Rattus norvegicus: one gene and its partners. The protein of the gene in region 4 binds, or shares a complex with, the protein of the main gene of each other region. Links are inferred from orthologs where the notes say so. Each region holds a gene or a part of one and is shown on either strand. Other genes may lie near its edges.

The links.
Region 1: the proteins of Kat7 (region 4) and Brd1 are in contact, whole or in part, in a crystal structure (PDB 5GK9), measured with the Homo sapiens proteins. The link is inferred for Rattus norvegicus from reciprocal best matches to the Homo sapiens genes KAT7 and BRD1. Residues at the interface, in NP_008998.1 of Homo sapiens: Leu531, Phe534, Gly536, Lys537, Glu538, Ile539, Ser540, Ile541, Lys542, Pro552, Val553, Val556, Gln560, Leu565, Tyr567, Lys571, His572, Leu573, Val574, Leu575, Lys576; in XP_047297239.1 of Homo sapiens: Val40, Ile42, Glu43, Ile44, His49, Arg50, Ile51, Ser52, Ile53, Phe54, Asp55, Pro56, Leu57, Glu58, Ile59, Ile60, Leu61.
Region 2: Kat7 (region 4) and Jade2 share a complex: the UniProt entries of both Homo sapiens proteins name them as parts of the HBO1 complex. The link is inferred for Rattus norvegicus from reciprocal best matches to the Homo sapiens genes KAT7 and JADE2.
Region 3: Kat7 (region 4) and Jade3 share a complex: the UniProt entries of both Homo sapiens proteins name them as parts of the HBO1 complex. The link is inferred for Rattus norvegicus from reciprocal best matches to the Homo sapiens genes KAT7 and JADE3.

Annotation. Positions count from the first base shown.
Region 1 is NC_086025.1:121,698,413-121,703,288, reverse strand, and holds the start of Brd1 (bromodomain-containing protein 1), read left to right. Parts: upstream 1-1,588; 5' UTR 1,589-1,892; intron 1,893-4,876. UniProt on the Homo sapiens protein: Scaffold subunit of various histone acetyltransferase (HAT) complexes, such as the MOZ/MORF and HBO1 complexes, that acts as a regulator of hematopoiesis.
Region 2 is NC_086028.1:36,588,805-36,593,140, reverse strand, and holds part of Jade2 (E3 ubiquitin-protein ligase Jade-2), read left to right. Parts: coding exon 1-41; intron 42-1,746; coding exon 1,747-1,863; intron 1,864-3,012; coding exon 3,013-3,477; intron 3,478-4,336. UniProt on the Homo sapiens protein: Scaffold subunit of some HBO1 complexes, which have a histone H4 acetyltransferase activity. Acts as an E3 ubiquitin-protein ligase mediating the ubiquitination and subsequent proteasomal degradation of target protein histone demethylase KDM1A.
Region 3 is NC_086039.1:4,395,576-4,400,705, reverse strand, and holds the start of Jade3 (protein Jade-3), read left to right. Parts: upstream 1-2,078; 5' UTR 2,079-2,188; intron 2,189-5,130. UniProt on the Homo sapiens protein: Scaffold subunit of some HBO1 complexes, which have a histone H4 acetyltransferase activity.
Region 4 is NC_086028.1:80,724,600-80,728,935, reverse strand, and holds part of Kat7 (histone acetyltransferase KAT7), read left to right. Parts: intron 1-1,505; coding exon 1,506-1,697; intron 1,698-3,584; coding exon 3,585-3,674; intron 3,675-3,854; coding exon 3,855-3,995; intron 3,996-4,336. UniProt on the Homo sapiens protein: Catalytic subunit of histone acetyltransferase HBO1 complexes, which specifically mediate acetylation of histone H3 at 'Lys-14' (H3K14ac), thereby regulating various processes, such as gene transcription, protein ubiquitination, immune regulation, stem cell pluripotent and self-renewal maintenance and embryonic development.

The DNA of each region.
Region 1 (4,876 bases), on a different chromosome or scaffold from region 4:
CATGCAAATCTCTTGAGTTCAAGGCCTGTCTGGTCTACAGAGGAAGTTCAGAGATACATTGAGAGGCCTTGTATTGAAAAATAAAACAACAACAAAACAACTACTTTCCAGCCCATAGTTTGGCTACAATGGGATATGAGAGTTGGCCAGCGGAAAGCTCATGGGGCTCCAGCCCCGACCTGGCATGGATGCATAACCGAGCAGACTGCTTTGTTCCAGTAACTGGTGGTATAGCCTGAGCAGGGAGCCTGCCCTGCCTGTCCTGTGGGGGAAGCAGCTCCGCTCCTGAGGGAAAGCTTTGTCCTGAATGTCACAGGCACACGACATCTGACACAAGACTTCCAAGGCAACCAAAGAGCCACCTAGTCTTCACCCACATTTCGAAATATTTAGAGATTAATCTCATAATTAACATTCTCAAGAAGCCACTAACTTTTTAAACTAAAGACTAAAGTAGAAGGAATGAGCTGGAGAGTGGGACCAGTCCAAGTCATAGGGCCCTGATCTTGAAACCTTCAAGGCTGGGCAGCAGAAGTTTTTAACCTGTGAGCCACGACCCCTTTAGTGGTCCTGCATATCAGATATTTACATCCATAACAGCAGCAAATGATAGTTATGAAGTAGAAATGAAATAACTTTATGGCTGGGGGGGGGGTCACCACAACATTGGTCAACAGTAGTAGGAAGGCTGAGAACTGCTGCTCTATAGTGTTACCAGGTCCTAGGTAGACATCAATGCTTAATCACCTCTACTAGGGCAGTGCTTGTAAGAGGAAGGCCTAAGTCACATGCGTGGCAGCCCATGCTTTTAGGGAGGCAGGTCTCTGTCTACATAGTGAGTTCCAGACAGCCAGAAATACTTAGTCTCAAAACAACAAAACCAAAAGCCAACCAACAACCAAACAAAAAAAGAGGGCATGCCCCCTGGCTGCCCCATAGTTTCTGAGAGCTCCAGTACTTGTCACAGTAACTAGCTAGCCATCCTCAGTTCCTTTCCATACCCTCTCCTACCCAACCACTGACCTCATCTTGTGCCATTTTTAGTGCCTTTCTATGCCACCTTAGGGTTCCCATCCTTGTCATTTATTCCTCAGAGGGATCTACCCTTGTTTGATGACCCTTCATCAGAGCCCTTATTTCCATTCCCTCTTAACTCATCCTTCATGAACTCCTCTTACCCCCCTTAGGATGCACCTCTTGATTCTCTCAAGAACCAGTCCCTTAAAAATCACGCACTCAGGAAACTCCGCCTGGCTCCTTAGGGTCAACATTCTGGCTCTACTCACTGCTACTGACCCCACAGTAAACATCATCTGGTTACCCTACTCTTACAGCAGTCCTTTACTCCTCAGGAGCCCTATCCTGTCTCCCCCAGAACTCTCCTCCTAGTCACCCCACTCTTGCAGCACTCCTCCCATCCCCCGCTCCGGATCCCCACCCTAACTCCCTGAGAGCCACCCTTCCTGGTCACCCCACTCTCTCCTTCGCGTCCCGCCCCGCCCCCTTATCCCGGCTTGGTGCGGCGCGCGTCATGGCGGCGGCGGGCGGGGCGCGTCTCGCACGCAGCGCGCCGGGCGGAGCGCTCGCCGCATTGTTTGCTTCGCTGGGGAGCGAGCAGCGCCTCGGCAGGCGTCCGAGCAGCTCCGCGTTCGCGTCCTCCGCCCGGCCGGGCCCCGAGCCGGCCTTAGCCGGCTGTGCCGGCGCCGCCGACCCCGCCCGAGCCGTGGCGCCCTGCGGGTCCGGAGCCGCTGGCCGAGCGCGCCCCGGAGCCCGGCGGGGCACGGCTGCGCGGCCGTTGGCGGAGGAGCCGCGGCGCCATTAGCGCCGCCTCGGCCGCGCCGGCCCCCGCGCCCGCCCGCCCGCCGGGCTCCCGCGGCCGCGGCGCCCCGAAGGTGAGTGTCTGACGGTCGCCGTTCGCCGCCCGCCTCGCCGGCCGGGGCGGAGGTGCAGGCGCCATGTTTAGAGGCGGCAGCGGCGGCTCCGCATTGTCCGCGGGCGGGGAGGCCGGAGAGTCGGGGCGGCGAGGCCCGGAGGCCGTGAGGCCTGGTGGGCGCGGGAGCCGGAGGAACTGAGAAGGCCGAGCGGGCGAGTGCCGCCGTGAGCCGGCGCGGCCGGGGACGCCGAGATGGGTGCCGGCGGCTTGCCCGAGAGGCCGGGTCTGGGAGGCGAGGCCGCGGCGAAATCGCGGAGGCGGAGGCCGCAGCCGGGTGGGGGCGGAGAGGGACACGGAGGCCGCGGCGGGGTCGGGGAGACAGAGGAGTAGAAGGAGGCCGCCGCGGCGCGGGAGGGGCGGCCAAGAGAATGGAGCGGGCGGCAGGTTTCAGGAGGCGGGGAAGCCGCCGGGCCGGGCGGGCTCTGGGCGGCCCGGCTGTCTGTGCAGCTGGGGCAACTGCGGGGACGGGCGTCGGACAGCGGAGGAGGCGGAAGGCCTGGGGTCTCGTGGCGTCTGCCCACGTCCTCGCCTGTAGCCTTGGCGGTGCGGAGCCGGTCGCATTATGTAACAGATAGGTCCGATCTATTTTGCCAAGACAGGAAACTCCCTTGAAGAGGGACGGGCTCGGAAGATTTCCTAAGTCGAGCGGGGCCTGGTATCTCCGGAGTAAGCCCGCAGCTCCGCCAAACTCCGTGGATGTGTGCAGGAAACGCCGAGAAACGAACGCGCGTGCGCGGCTTTCTTGGGCCTTTAGGAGAGAAGCAACTTTCCTATGCTTAATTTGCAGAAAACACTGCTCCTCATCGTGCACTGCAGTTGTGACACACTTACACACACCTAGGAAACCGCCCCCTTAATGGAGGACATTCACTTCACCCAGCCGCGACTGTTTTAGAGTATCTGTCATCTGGTAACACATAGTTACAGAATTTTGATATTATTTAGTTACTGTTTTATCACTTGTTGGATCTAGCACTGTTCTGAGTCTGTGTTTACTCCTCAGATTGTCACTTTAGAGTAAGTGTCTTTCCTGTGTGCTTTCACAGTGAGGGGTAGAAGCTGGAAGAGTTTAAATGGCTTGTCTACAAACCAGGCAGGAAATGAACTGAGCTGATTTTGAGCAGAGTCTTTCCCTCTTTCTGCTAACAAAGCTTTTTAGGATGCGTTTAGCACAGTTATTTCTGGAGAACCATGCTTATTGCCTTTGCTGATTCTTTCATGGAAATGCTCATTCCTGCATAGAGCCAGAGGGTCAAAGTGCTGGGTGTATGAAAATGAGGAAGCAGATGAGATTGTTGGTCACTGCTGGGCAGTGCCTCTAAATGCCCTCTTTCCCCCGGTCACAATTACATTTTCAAATTACAGAGTAGCTGTGGCCATTAAGTATTAGGTTCAGTTCTTGTAGAAAAGTGGTTTAAAGACCTTCAGTGCTCACTAGGAGAATGTGGGGTTTGACAGGCTGGTTACAGTACTTTACTGTAGAGGAGAAAATTACATGTTTGTTTTTAATCTGGGAGCTGTTGCTTCTGCCTGCCTCAGTAGTAAATTGTGAAGCATCCGAGGTGAACTGTGGTTCTTTCTGTGCAGAATATGGTGCTGACACCTGGATTTGCACCTATCTCATCTCAGGGATGTTGCTAGAGGCCTAGGGCTGGCTAGGGCTGCTTTGATGACAGCTCCCTTAGAATCCTTTGCTGAGCAGGCACCTGGAAGCTCCTCAGATGCAGGTGCATTGGGGTCTGCTGTTCTTGTTCATAGAGCGATAGTATCTACAGAATGTGGGTTTCTGCAATCTGCAAGGTCTGTCTTTAAAAATGCGTATAAGATTTGCAGAGATTTCCTTTTGGGATTTAAAACATGAAGTCTGCTCTTGGAGGGCTTTTCTCAGAGACTAGTAAGATAAGTATGAGCTGAGAATTCGGGGTTCCTGGAGAGCCCTGCTTGTGGGCTATTCTGACATTTCAACTTGGTATATTTTGGGAGTCAGTCTTTATCTACTTGTCAGTTGAGTGGGCTTGTTCAGTGGGAGGCATGAGTGGTCCTGGCCCTTGTTACTCCATGTGTTCATTCTGCTTGACTAGTGGTCCAGAGTGGGCACGTCTGCACATAAGATCTGCATCGGAGAAAACTAAAAGTGAGGAGTCCACTACAAGGAGTGGGAGTGTAGGCTGTTAGCTCCCTGGTTTTGTTCATACTGGAAATGAACACATCTCTGAAGTTTTCAGGCATGTGAACCAGTGATAAGGGGTGGGGTGGGGGGCTCTGCAGGCTGTGGTCTGAGGGAAACCATCCTTTTTTTGGGGGGCAAGAGCTGAGCACTTTCAAGTGTATCAGGAGGAGAGCAGAAGTGCCACTTGATACCTTGCCCTCAGCTAGGCGTACTTGGAGAGTATGTGGCCCAGCCCACAGCCAGGTCCTGGCCTGAGTGAAAGGGAAAGGCTGGTGCTGCCACGGCAGCTTCCAGGGTGGTCACTGCTGAGGCGTCCTAAAAGCTCCATTGGGCTCTTGGGGCAAAGATCTCCCACAGACCAGCACAGCGTTCCCTTCAAGTCCTGTATGGGATGTTTGTGGAAAGAATGGACTACTTTATGCTGTTGAGTTATGGATGCTTCTGGCCCCCAGCACAAAGTTCCCAGGAGCACTCTGCTGGGCAGTAGTGAGAAAGAAAGACCTAAGGGATTGCTAAGAGTAGGTGGCCACAGGCCATAGTCTCTGTTGTGAAGTCTGTCAGTAAAACAGTCTGACTTGTGGGCAAGAGGCCAAGCTCTCAGCTCTGGAGACCTATGTTGCTGTTTGTAGGTAACTTTTGGCTTGGTCTAAAAAGGTGACTTGTGGGTGGAATGCACCTGTGCCCTAGCTATTCAGCAGGAACCCCGAGGGCTGCAGCTTCCTGCTGTCTTCCCTGACTGTCAGTACCTTTACCTGGGTGTGGTGAGGGAGGTT
Region 2 (4,336 bases), about 44 Mb from region 4:
CCAAGTGGGTACACGTCAGCTGTGCCCTGTGGATTCCTGAGGTGTGTAGATTTCAGAGGGAGGGGCTGTGTGGAGAGCTCGGGTTGGACCTAGCAGAATTTAGGTGACAGAACATAGGAAAAAAGGGTCTGTTAGGTTCCCATGAAGACTCAGACAGTGTCTCAGTTAGGGTTTTAATGCTGGGAACAGACACCATGACCAAGGCAACTCTTAATACGGACAACGTTTAATTGGGGCTGGCTTACAGGTTCAGAAGTTCAGTCCATTATCATCAAGGTGGGAGCATGGCAGCATCCAGGCAGGCATGGTGCAGGAGGAGCTGAGAGTTCTACATCTTCATCTGAAGGCTGACAAGAGAATCCTGGCTTCCAGGCAGCTAGGGTGAGGGTCTTATAGCCCAGACCCACAGTGACACACCTACTCCAACAAGGCCATACCTAATAGTGCCACTCCCTGGGCCAAGCATATTCAAACCCTCACAGACAGGTCTAGGAATAACTTGGAACATTGTCTGCGAACCTGGTCATAGGTCTGGTCTTCAACTCTGAGGCACTGGGACATTCAGGAGGGACAATTTGAGGTCCAGACCTTAGTCAAGCAAAGGGGTTGGGGTGGGGGCTGAGTCTCAGATTATGGAATCTATCAAAACAAAGTTCTGGTTAAAATCAGAATGAAGCCAACCTTGGTAACATACGCCTGCAGATCCAGCACTTGGGAGATGGGAGTAGAAGATCAGGAGTTCAAGGCCATCATCCACTTGAATTTGATGCTAGCCTGGGCTACATGATAACCCTGTCACAAAACCAAGCGAAAGGGCAGCTGATCCCCTAGTGCAGTAGGAAGTTGGATAATGGGCCTGCTCCTGTGGCTGCAGAGGTAGCCTGTGACTTGGAGGGGCCGTGGACAGCAGGCTGGGTCCATGGTAGCCATCTTCACTAAGGCTTTGTGGTCAGTTCTTCTATATTGAGATGCCTGTCCAGGGCTGTCCATGCCTAGAAGCAGGCTAGGAGACCCTGTCAGCACGTGACTCTTTCCTTCCTGGTTCCTTATCCAGAGGTTCCTACTGGGGTCCACTTGCCTTTTTTTTTTTTTTTTTGGTTCTTTTTTTTTTCCGGAGCTGGGGACCGAACCCAAGGCCTTGCGCTTCCTAGGCAAGCGCTCTACCACTGAGCTAAATCCCCATCCCCCCACCTTGCCATTTCTGGGGTAGGGGTTATTTGTGTCAGATTTTCATCTTGAAGGCCAGGACTGCTTTTCGGTGCCCTTTCTCCTGGTTATGGCAGAGAGACTGACCTCTTGAGGACCCCATGCTTGAGGGCCAGCCAGGTGGCTCAGCAGGAAAGATCTTTGCTGCCAACCCTGACAAACTGAGCTCCGTCCCCAGGACCTACGCAGTGGCAGGGAAACTTACTCCTGCAAGTTGTCCTCTACCTCCACACCTATGCCGTGGCATACATGAACGTACACATGTACACATGCACCTGCATGTCTCAAAGTCTACAGTCCCGGGTACATGCTTCTCCTAGCCAGCCACATTCGCATACATGCACACTCTGGGCCTGGTTCCAAGTGAACAGGTACGTGATTGGGCCAGGATTGGGAACTCAGACCTTCAGCTCTGTAAGTGTGAAGACAGAGAGGACTTAGGACTTGTGAGTTGAATCCACAACTCCGTCTGCTCACTATCTGGCTATGAGTGACTGGATCCCACCTGGGGACTGATGCAGCTCTCTGTATTCTGCCCAGGTCAGCATTGGCTGTCCAGAGAAGATGGAGCCCATTACCAAGATCTCACATATTCCCGCCAGCCGCTGGGCCCTGTCCTGCAGCCTCTGCAAGGAGTGCACGGGAACCTGCATCCAGGTATGTGGCCTGCTTCCTTCTGTTACCCGGAACTGCCGTGTTACCAGACAGAAGCACCGAGGTACCTGAAATACCAGTTCTTACCACCACCTAGCCCCTGTGGCTACACCACTGATGGACCCTAGAGGCTTAGGACAACAAGGTCCACCTGTGTACTTCACCCACATTCAATTGTCCCCAGGCTTCCAAGGAATGGGGACAGACCCCACCCGTGGAATACTAAGAACTTGGCTTTCCCCACCAGAGCAAGTGTCCCTGGGCTCGATGATTCATTGGCTTTTTAGACTGGAACCCTGACATGTGAGAGGAATAGAAATCTGAATTCCTCTCCAGCTCAGCAGATGTGCCTTCCTGACCTAATACAGGGGCTTACTGGTCTACCTGTGATGGCGGCTCCCATCTTGGTGATCATCAGGATCACCTGAGGCATTGAAACCACAAGAAGCTGTAAGCTCTAGTGGCTCTGATTCAGACATGAAGGGGGGGTGAACTTCCTTTCTTTCACAAAGCAGGGTTTGCCAGTATGGCTTCTGGTCTGTGCTGTGGGGTAGAAGCTCTCCTTGGTCCCTCTCATCTCCCCAAGAACACAGTCATCCTTGCAAATGTGCCTCCACCCCATTTATTAGACCTCCAGAAGGGTTCTGGACAAGGTGGCGATGGTACCCGATGTTGGGTACACTGTTGATGAACAGGTTCCAGTGGTCCAGTCCCCATCGAGGGCTGGGAGGAATGGTCAGAGCCTTTACCTGCTTCGATAAGAGAAGGTGGAGATCCAGGTGCTCTCAGAGAGTAGCACCAGGACAGACTCCTGGCTTGGATGACAGTTGCAATAGAGGAGACTGTGACCCTCTTCAGGCGTTTACCCCTGTCCTCTAATCCCAAAGTCACTTGCCCACAGGACAGTGCTTCTTGTCCCCACAAAGGGGACATTACCTTCTGATTCTTGGCTCCTTCAGTATGTTTGGAATTCGCTGTCACCTCTCCAGGTGCCCCAGGGCTCCTGTTTCTCCTTTAATGTTGGAGCCTGTGCCATTTTACATAGTGTCTCCCCAGCACTGTGTGTGTTCCTCGGTGCTTAGACCCCCCCCCCCCCGCCCGCCCGCGCCCAGCGCTCCTTTAATGCCTGACGCGCCCTTCCCTTCTCTCCAGTGTTCCACGCCTTCCTGCCTCACAGCATTCCACGTTACCTGCGCCTTCGACCGAGGCCTGGAAATGCGGACTATATTAGCCGACAATGACGAGGTCAAGTTCAAGTCACTTTGCCAGGAGCACAGTGATGGGGGCCCTCGAAGTGAGCCTAGTTCTGAGCCTGTGGAGCCCAGCCAGGCCGTTGAGGATCTGGAAAAGGTGACCCTACGCAAGCAGCGGCTGCAGCAGCTGGAAGAAAACTTCTATGAGCTGGTGGAGCCAGCTGAGGTGGCTGAACGGCTAGACCTGGCTGAGGCACTGGTGGACTTCATCTACCAGTACTGGAAGCTGAAGAGGAGAGCTAATGCCAACCAGCCACTGCTGACGCCCAAGACTGACGAGGTGGACAACCTGGCCCAGCAGGAGCAGGATGTCCTTTATCGACGCCTGAAGCTTTTCACCCACCTGCGGCAGGACCTGGAGAGGGTAAGTAGCCCTGGTGGGGTGGGTGGAAGGGACAGCCAAGAGGAGGGGGAGGGTAAAGGCTAACAGGATTAGAAGGCACAATGGGAGGAGAGATACTCATACTCAGTCTTTGAGTCTCTCTTGTTCCAGCCATTTCAGAGGTCTTGGTGAAGGTGACCTGTGGAGACAGGAGTCAAGGCTACTGGAGCCCACTTGCCTGCAGTTTCCCTTCTGACCTTTATAGATGGTGACTGAGACTAAAGGAGCCAATGTTACCCAAAATACCTCTGTCCTGACATATTAAGAATAGGGGTTGGGGGGGTTGGGGATTTAGCTCAGTGGTAGAGCGCTTGCTAGGCGCAAGGCCCTGGGTTCGGTCCCCAGCTCCAGAAAAAAAAAAAAAAAAGAAGTAGGGATTGGGATTGTGGGGTTATCTAGTTACCAGGCATGCTTGTGCTGGCCAGAACTGGGTAGGCAGGGGTGAGTGGTGCAGGATGTGATTCCCATAGGCTGCCAGGCAGGCAGAGAACAGGGATCGGGTCAGATGACACACACCAGACAGACATTGCCCCACAGAGGCGTTCCCAGGCCTGGCCTGGGTGACCAAGCCACATACACTTTCATCTTTGTTTTAGGAATCGGGGACAGAACTGTGGCTTGTTCTCTGGTGGTCTGTGTGGGGCTGAGGAAGGTGAACGTGTCTAGATCATAGACCAGTCCTCTGAACCCAGGAGCCGCTCCGTCATCTCCTTTCTGAGCGTTGAATTCTAGAGTTCAGAGAATTGTAGGATCATGTCGGTATCCTTCACAGACCCAGTGGACGTGTCATCCCTTCTGGGGCTGTGTTAAACAGTCCTGATTGGAGGCCTCAGAGGGTCTT
Region 3 (5,130 bases), on a different chromosome or scaffold from region 4:
CGTTCATTGGGTGGGATCTCCAGTGAGTGTCCTTAATGGTGGTATGTGAAGATATGCTTAAGAGTTTATCTCTCTGTGCAGCCCTAGGACGTACGTACCTAGTAGGGATTTCACAAGAAACTTGTTTGGCCACCCCACTGGCGTTCTGAGTCAAAGGAAATCCATCTTTGGAGATGTGCACAAGGGTCGACCCTTGCTTGTGAGAGGCACTTAACTGTGAAGCTAAGGATGAGATCCACACCCTTCACCGCCACAGTTTGATTGTATAAGAAATCAAAACCATAGTGACAGATTTCAGTGTCCTAAAGGGAAAGGTGACCTCATTCCCTGCATTCAGTCAGATAAAGATAACTGCTACTCTCAAAACTCCGAAAAGTAATGAAAAAAAAAATAGGTAGAAACTGGTTGCACAACATCGTTGCCTAGTTAACCCTAGCCACAATCCTCTTTCCCAGAGTGCTTCTCTTAAATACCTTGCCTGCAGCCACTTCTAGTCAGCCCTGGGGGGTGGAAAATAGGGCGGGGAGAAGAGCAGAGTGCACTTTGTTTTTTATTTAGTTTAATATTTCTATAATATCTGTAATAGTAGGAATGTAGAGCCTAGCCTTTGTACATTTAAATAGTGACGTTCTTACACATTATGTGATGATTCTGGATAAGTAAAAATAGATTTTTTCTTTTTTGTTTAACTTTAAGAGTATTCTACTTCTATAACTAACATTTTCTTTTTTATTTTAGACGAGCTCTGACTTCAAATACTTAAATTATCAGAGGATAAACTCTCACATCAAGGATTACAGAAATTGGAGAGGGAGGATGCTGTTCATATTAAATTGAAGAGTACCCCAGTTCACATTAAGCTCTCAACATTAGTTATTGTCATCTTTCCTGTCACATGTGTTTTTTACACCTCTGTTCACTAGAGAAGAGCTCTTATTCCAATACTGTTGCTTTAAAATATTTTAAAATACAATACTGTTCCTCAAAGGTTTTTTTTTTGTCAGCAACTTCTGGAATAATACAGGTTATGGTGTTCTAACTTCAGGATCCACACTCTTCTTTTCTGAGTCAAGCCATGGCACTGAGATATGAATCTTGGTCATCGGCAGTTAAAAATAAAGTACCTAGGAATGACTTGGAGACTGTTTTCAGGACACACAAGATTTTGGAACACTTGTGAACCACTTTCTTGCCTGTAGAGGAGATTCTCAGTATCATCACAGCTAATGATTCAGGGGCAGTTATCATACCTAAGACATAGTAAAAGCTAAAGTACAAGGTTGTTGAAGACATAGGTTTTGTTTGGCCATTTCCTTTGATACTGCTTGTTTTACCCCTTTCTCGTGTTCTACAAACCATAACAAATGTTTGTCCTCTAAGCTATACAAAGCCATCCCTGTTTTTTTTTTTTAAACTTTGAGGTCTAACTGAAACTAGTCACTTATTTTGAGAGTGGTAAGGGAATCAGGAGATACCAGGTTTTATGGAGATGTGACATTAGAGAGATCTTAGAAGCTTTGATCAAGGATACAGAGAGAGGCTAAAAATGAGATTGAATATTATCATGGGATATAATGTACATACCTCTTCATGGAGCTTACAAAAAAACAAGAGCTGAAGAAAATAGAACTGATATGCTGATTTATATTAAGATAATCTCTCATTAGGGTATAATTTACTGTGATCTTTACTTGCCTCATTTTTCTAGATGAGAGGTGGCTGTTGGGTGATACCCATCTGGCTCTATCTTAGCCATAATTTTTGGTGTTGAAAATTGAACCCACAGCTTTGCACATGCTAAGCAAGCATTCTACCACTGAGCTACCCCTTACCCAGATACCTTTATGAAGTGGGGACATTTGACTCATTAACAAGTTTGGATTCTAGTTACTGTGGCTAAGAAAATTAAAGCATTTTCATCTTTATACAGGTTTGTGGGGTGGGGAGAATCTAGAATGAATGGTTAGAAGTAATGAATGAATAAGAGGGTGCTAGCAGGTGATCATTGCAGACCCAGTTTACTGCTTTAAGTTTTTGTCTTTGTGACTCTCCCATGATCTGTTTTGTGTCCTCTCTGTAGGTCTTCCCATAGACAGCAAAAGCAAGGCTCCTATAATCAAAAGTGCCTCTGTGCTGAGTCTTTGGGAAAAACTTGCCTAATCCAATCTGCCAGACTTGGGAAGGGAAGGTAAGAACTCAAAGTGCTGTTTTTCTGAACATGAGGATGTGCGTGTTCTTGTGGGTACCTAGGAGTCTTGATTTGCCCTGAAGAAAATGAATCTGGCAAGAAGAAGTTATAGGGGCCGGAGAGATGGCTCAGTGGTTAAAAGCATTGGCTGCTCTTCTGGAGGTCCTGAGTTTAATTCCCAGCACTCACATGGTGGCACTCAACTATCTGTAATGAGATCTGATTCCTTCTTCTTGTGCGCATGAAGACAGAGCACTCATATATGTAAAATAAATAACTCTTTAAAAACACAGTATGATAAAAAATATTTCTAAGGTAAAAAAGAAGTTATATTGGGACTTTGGCCAATAGGAAACATCTGTGATATCATGGGTACCCTTCAAGCTATAAATAATTTTTCTCTTCTAACTCAGAAGCTGTGGCTATGCCCCACTATCCAAAGAGAACATTTTCCTCTGATACCTGTTGATAGGCAAAGATACCTAAGCCAGTGTGGGGTTTTTTGTTGTGTTGTTTTAAGACAGGTTTTTTTTTTAAGATTTATTTATTTTATGTATGAGTACACTATAGCTGTCTTCAGACACACCAGAAGAGGGCATCAGATCCCATTACAGATGGTTGTGAGCCACCATGTGGTTGCTGGGAATTGAACTCAGGACCTCTGGAAGATCAGTCAGTGTCCTTAACCACTGAGCCATCTCCCCAGCCCTTGGAACAAGGTTTTATTTTGTAGGCCAGACTAGCTTTCCAACTCACTATCCTCCTGCCTCAGCCTCTTGAGCTCTAGAATTATAAGGCATGAGCTATGCTTGGCTGGAATGTTGTTTTTGAACTAGCTAACAAAAGAATGTGATATCAGCTTGGTCTGTACACTGGACCCTCTGTTGAAATCTTCTGGGAAACTTGCTGGTATTATTCTTTTCTAGATTTTGAAAATTTAATTTTGATAAAATATTATAATTTTCAAAAATATTGCAAGATTGGTATAAAACCTCACTGTATTCCCTTTATCCAAGGTCATGAGTTATCAGCAGTTTGTTTTCATTCACTCTTTCTGTTTCTTTTTACAAATCATTTGAGCATAAACAGTGAGAGTGCTGTTTGTCAAGGCCGTCCTGTTGTGAAGAGTGTCTCAGATGAAACCACTGGTAGTGTAAGGCAGGGCCCCAGACGTAAAGTCCCTGTGTAGCTACCAAGCATATGTTTGTAAATCTAGTAGAATCTCTGATGTTAGGTAGAGAACTCATGACCAATTGTAAAAGTATTTAAGATAACCTTTCCCTTTCACCGTTCTTGTCATGTTTTCTTTCCTGTGTCAAGTTTTAATTCCACGAAACACTTAAGTTTTGTGGCCATTAATAAAGCCACCATTTAATTCATTCAGCAAACATACTGAGTGCTTTCTATTTACTGGGGTGTAAAAGGTAAAAGATACTCATCCCCTTAAGAGTTTAATGTCCAGTGGAAAGAATGTAAGGAATCTTCTCCCAGGAGGAGGAATGCTCTGCTGATGGGAACAGAGGACTTGTTGAGGAGCTAAAGAGAGACATCTAGGAGCCACTTAACTGGATGCAACTGAACATACCCATCTCTAAGGCCTTTGACTCTTAGATGACAAGGTTCATGAGTTAGGAATCCTTTGAGGTCATATATCCACCACAGGCAATGGAATCAGGCAAACTTGGACTCAAATTCTGGCTCTTCCACTTGATGTTGGCTACTTTACTTCTCTATGCCTGAGTTTCTTCATGTGCCAAGTCATATTTCTAAGGATGGTAGTGAGGATTTAGTTGAAGTAATAGTTGTTCTATAAACATTCATTTCATCTCCTCTTACAAAAAATACACTATGTTGGGAGTAACATAAAAATATTAAGTATTAAGGTAGAATCCAAGCAGAAATTTCAAATTTTTTTTAACAGATAAATATCTTATTGTTAGTTGTGCTAGGAAAGATGATGGGAGTTACCTTACAGGATAGTAAATATAACAGCAACCGTGATAGCTCTCTGAGCAGAGGATATCTCTTAGAGTTGTGAATCTTGAAATGGTGAAGCAGAGTCAACTTGCCCAAGGACACACACACACACACACAGAGAGAGAGACAGAGACACAGACACACACACACACACACACAGAGAGAGAGAGAGAGAGAGAGAGAGAGAGAGAGAAAATTAATTCCTCTGTGACTGACCAATGGAGTGCCCTTGGAACCTCAAGAATAAATCATAATAAGCAAGGTAAAATGAAGAGCGAAAGATTGTCAGGTGGAGGAAATAACAGGTAGTGACAGTACTGAGGTGGAGCAGGAATAAAGGATTCACAGAGGTTTGGATACATTGGGAAAAGAGAGATGAGGTAGGCAGAAGATTGATAGACTTTATGGAACCTCATTAAGGAGCTTGTGCTTTATTTTAAAGAGAAGCATAGTCTACTCGAAGGTATTAAGCCTTTCCTAAACTGTATGTGTGAGTACTTAGAAAAGTATTCAGTGGTTCCTAAAAAGGCCTTGTCATTTCTTCAGTGTTCCATATTGCATTCCAATATAAGCTATGTTTCTGTATAAAACCTATGCCAAAATGTAGGTAGGTAACTTGGACTGTCTCTGTGAATGTTGTAAGAAGAGTTGCCATGCTAAAAAGAAGGTTGCACTTCAGAATGCTGGTAGAAAGAAGTTTAATTAGTTTCATATCTTTTTTTTTTCTTTTCTTTTTTTCGGAGCTGGGGACCGAACCCAGGGCCTTGCGCTTGCTAGGCAAGCGCTCTACCACTGAGCTAAATCCCCAACCCCGTTTCATATCTTTTTTATTTATTTATTTTTTACACTCCAGATTTTATTCCCCTCCTGGTCTACTCTCTGACTGTTCCACATCCCATACCTCCTCCTCGCCCCCGCCCAGTCTCCACAAGGATGTCCCTATACCCTACCCACCCCACCAGGCC
Region 4 (4,336 bases):
TGAAATGTACAGTCTGGGAACCTAGGACTTCGGTGTATAGCACCGTCCTCTTTATAGGGTTTCTTTCCATTTCATCCATTTACCCTAAAAGCATGTAAATAACAGCAAAGAAAAATGGGGAAGGCCAGATATGTTGTTGAATTTGTTGATTTTTTTGATAAGGAGATCTTATCTTGTTGCCCAAGCAAGTTTGAGACTTCTGGGCTCATTGGTACGTGAGATATCTAGGCAGAAGTGCTCCTTTTGTTTGCATTTGATACAGTACCTGTGGCTGGCCTAGAAAACGTTGTAGAAACTGATTTTACTTATGATAAAACAAATTAAATGTGCTCAGGGAAATTGAGTTTGTAGTGTTAATTTCATTTCCTTCCCTTCTTTTTAAAAACATTTATTTTTACTCACTTTATATCCCGTTCATTGCCCCCTTCCCCATCACCCCTTTCATCATCCTTCTCTCCTCCCCCTCCTTCCTTTTATTATGAGTTGCAAGAGGCAGGTTTGGTGGCTGCTCTGGTCTGGGATTGGTCGCCACCTCCTGCTCTTCCTTTCCATCATGAAGATCATTGCCTCAGGCCAGCCAGGTCCTACTTCTCCAGCTGGTTACTGCAAACAGTAATTGCCTGTTGTGCACCTGGAATCCAAGCCCTAGTCAGGGAGGAGGACCAGGAGGATAGCCGCAGAGGTCAAACCTGAATAGCCTCGAGATCTGTAGGAGGAGAGAACTGACTCCCCACAAGCTGCTCTGATCTCTACTTGTCTTTACATACACACACAATAACCAAACATTAAAAATAAAAACAAACAGAAGTGGGCTGGGACTATAGCTTTTTTGGTAGTGTACTTATCTGGGATCCAGGATACCCTGGGTTCCATCTCCAACACCACATAAATCTGCTGTGGTGGCACGAACCTGTGGCCACATTATCTGGAAATGAAGGGAGCCAATTCAGGAGTTCAAGGTCATCCCCATTATATCCTCATTTGAGGTTCGGTTAAAACACAAAAACGTTTTTTCTTTTAAAGATAGCTGGGCAGTATAGCTGGCCCATTTTCTATGAACGTGCCTTATTTATTTATTTATTTATTTATTTATTTATTTATTTATTTATTTTTATGCTCAAGTAACACATTAGTAGCCATCTATGGACAGAGGCCAAATCTAGCTAAGTCTTTTTATACCTTAGTTGCTGGCCTGGTAGAAATTGTTAAGAATAAGGGTAATAGAGGCTGGAGATAGCTCAGCAGTTAAGAGCATTTGCTGTTTTTGCAAAGAAAACACATTGAGTTCCCAGCACCCATATGGTGGCTCACAGCTACCTATAACTTCAGTTTGGGACGTCTGATGCCCTTTTCTGACATGTGCAGGCATGCGTGTGAGGTATAAACACATGCACACATGCATGCATGTTTATGCACAAACAAAACATACATTATTGTGTAGATAAAAATCTAATTTTAAAACCAAAGATAAGGATTTATTTGTTTTGGTTTCTTCTTGTCAATAGGAGAAGTTAAGGCTTCAAGGCCAAATCACAGAGGGAAGCAACATGATTAAAACAATTGCTTTTGGCCGCTACGAGCTGGATACTTGGTACCATTCTCCCTATCCTGAAGAATATGCACGACTGGGACGTCTCTACATGTGTGAATTCTGCTTAAAATACATGAAGAGCCAAACGATTCTCCGCCGACACATGGTGTGTTTTCTTGTTCACATCACGAGGGGATGTTACATGGTTTCCCAGTTATGTTCCAGAGATAGCATAAGTGTCCAAAAAGTGACATTTCCCAAGTGTCCACAGCAATAGGGTGGAGACTTAAGGAACTGAAAGTCACATTTCTGGGTAACCCTTTGCCCGGACCAGTGCTGCATAGCATCTTAACTACACCCTGTCCATAAACGTCTTTTCTTCTTGTTTTTTGTCTTTTGTTGTTTCTTCAGCACATTAATTACCTCTCCCTACAGTTTGTGTTTGTACCAAACTTAATGAAACGCATATATTCTGTTAGATAGAACAGGACACTGTGGCTCATATGTTAGATGGCAACTGTCTGTCTTGGGTGAATACATTTTATAAGAGATTTCCATCTTTAACAGATGATGAAAAGAACGGTTTGCATTTCTTAAAGTTCTCTGTATTAACTAGGAAAGGATGTGCATAGTTGGCTCTGGTGACTTCTGTGAGTATAGAGGTCAGGTTTGGGGAAATGCAGGCTTCTCCTCTCCATTGCTTCAGGAATAATCATGAAATGGCTTCTTTAGCTTGGCAAATGTTTCTAGACACATAACTGTTGCATTAATTTGGTTATCCTGGAAAGAACCAGCAGGAATAATGGGAGGAAATAGGAATATAGATGGAGCTTTGAAACAATTCCGGTTAATACATGCTTTAGTCCCCTGTGGTAAGTAGGACATGATATCCATGCCTTGCATACCATGTCCCTGCCACCCGGTCCCCACCATCAGCTAAGCAGGGAACACAGCCTCGCCCTTAATGGATATTGTACCACTGAGCTATATTCCTAAACCTGAAATACAGTTCTTAGAGGATGTGATGTGATTTTTGCTTTAAATAGGGTCTCTAGCTTAGGCTGGCCTCACTTGTAGTTTTCCTATCTCTTTTGCTTGAGTGCTCACATGACCAGTGCGGACCAACCACAGGTCCAGTGACACTTTATGCTTGAGTTGTCAGAGAGATGGTAGTGAATTGTTTAATAAGAAATTTTCTATATGTATAAACTTTGTGTGTGGAATGCTCATGCATGTGTGCACATGTACATACACACCATAGCACACGTGTGAAAATGAGAGAACATTGTGGGAGTCAGTCGGTTCTCTTCCACTATGGAGATTCCCAGAATTGAATCTGAGTCATGAGGCTTGGCAGCAAACGCATGTACCTGCTTTGGCTTCTCGACTGCAGGGCCCGGGCTTACTTCAGTAGTAGAGAACTTGCATTGCTGCCAAGATGGCGGGTGCTAGCTCCAGGGCCATGAATTGAACATTTTGAGAATAAGGAAAAGAGTTTGGAACCAAGTACCTTTCAGCTTCCTGCTGCTCAGCCAGGCCTCCTACCTTTTCAAATAAGCCTGGAAGGACTTCTGTTTATCTGACATATGGCAGGGGGTGGGCAGATAGCGAGCGGCTCACGATCCTCCTTGTGCAGACACATGATGAGGTAGGGTGGTAATGGGAAGAAGCGACTGGCAAAGGTGAGCAGAGCATACTTAGCAACACTAAGCTGCTTAAGAACTTCCTGTTGGCTTGCAGTATTTTATTGTAAGCAAGGATATTCTTATTCATCTAGCTTTTACGTAGTAGGTGATTTAATATCTTGGGCTGAGATAATGCCAAAAATAATCCAGAAAACTTGAGCCAAACAGCCATATGCGTCCTCAGATAGATCGCAACAGCTTAAGAAAGCTATAACTTTTCTGAAAACAATCGGGCTCACTGTCCCCAAGTGCATTCAGTCATCTGTTAACTCAGCTAACCACATTTATCCTGTGGTTCCTTTTCCCAGGAAAGGAACAGGGTGGTAGGGAAATCTTGACTGCTTCATGTGAACTCCATTCTCTTGTAGGCCAAGTGTGTGTGGAAACACCCCCCTGGTGATGAGATTTATCGCAAAGGCTCCATCTCTGTGTTTGAAGTAGATGGCAAGAAAAACAAGGTAAAAGGTGGTGATGTGAGAAAAGGAGACACAGTGGTGGGGTTCCAGAGGAAGATTTTGTCTTCGAGAGAGATAGGAATTAGTTCCATTTGTGGATAGTATTGATATGATCATTCTTTCTAGACTTCGATTTGGTTGAGAAGTCACTGGACTCCACACAAACACTCTTTCTGCTTCCAGATCTACTGCCAAAACCTCTGCCTTTTGGCGAAGCTTTTTCTGGACCATAAGACCTTATACTACGATGTAGAGCCCTTCCTGTTCTACGTTATGACAGAAGCAGACAATACTGGCTGCCACCTGATTGGATATTTTTCTAAGGTTAGCAGGATCTGGTGATTTAGAAGCTTAACCACAATGGGAGGCATCATGGGTATTGGCATTAGAGGCTCAGATCTCTGAGGAAGTGGGTGACAGTGATAGTCTTCCCATAAGCAAAATAAGAAAGGCAAACGTGTATCGTAGAAAGCTTCCTGACAGGATTCTCTTCAGGATCTTCCTCTGTTACCTGGGCTGACTGGGAGTCATGCCTTAGACTGGCATCAAATCCAGGACAGGCTTCCTGCCTTAACCTCCAAAGTGCTGGGATCACAGACATGAGCTGGGACACTTAGCTGATACTGTCACTAGAAGGTTCTGGTTTCTGTGCTTGTGGGTTAAAG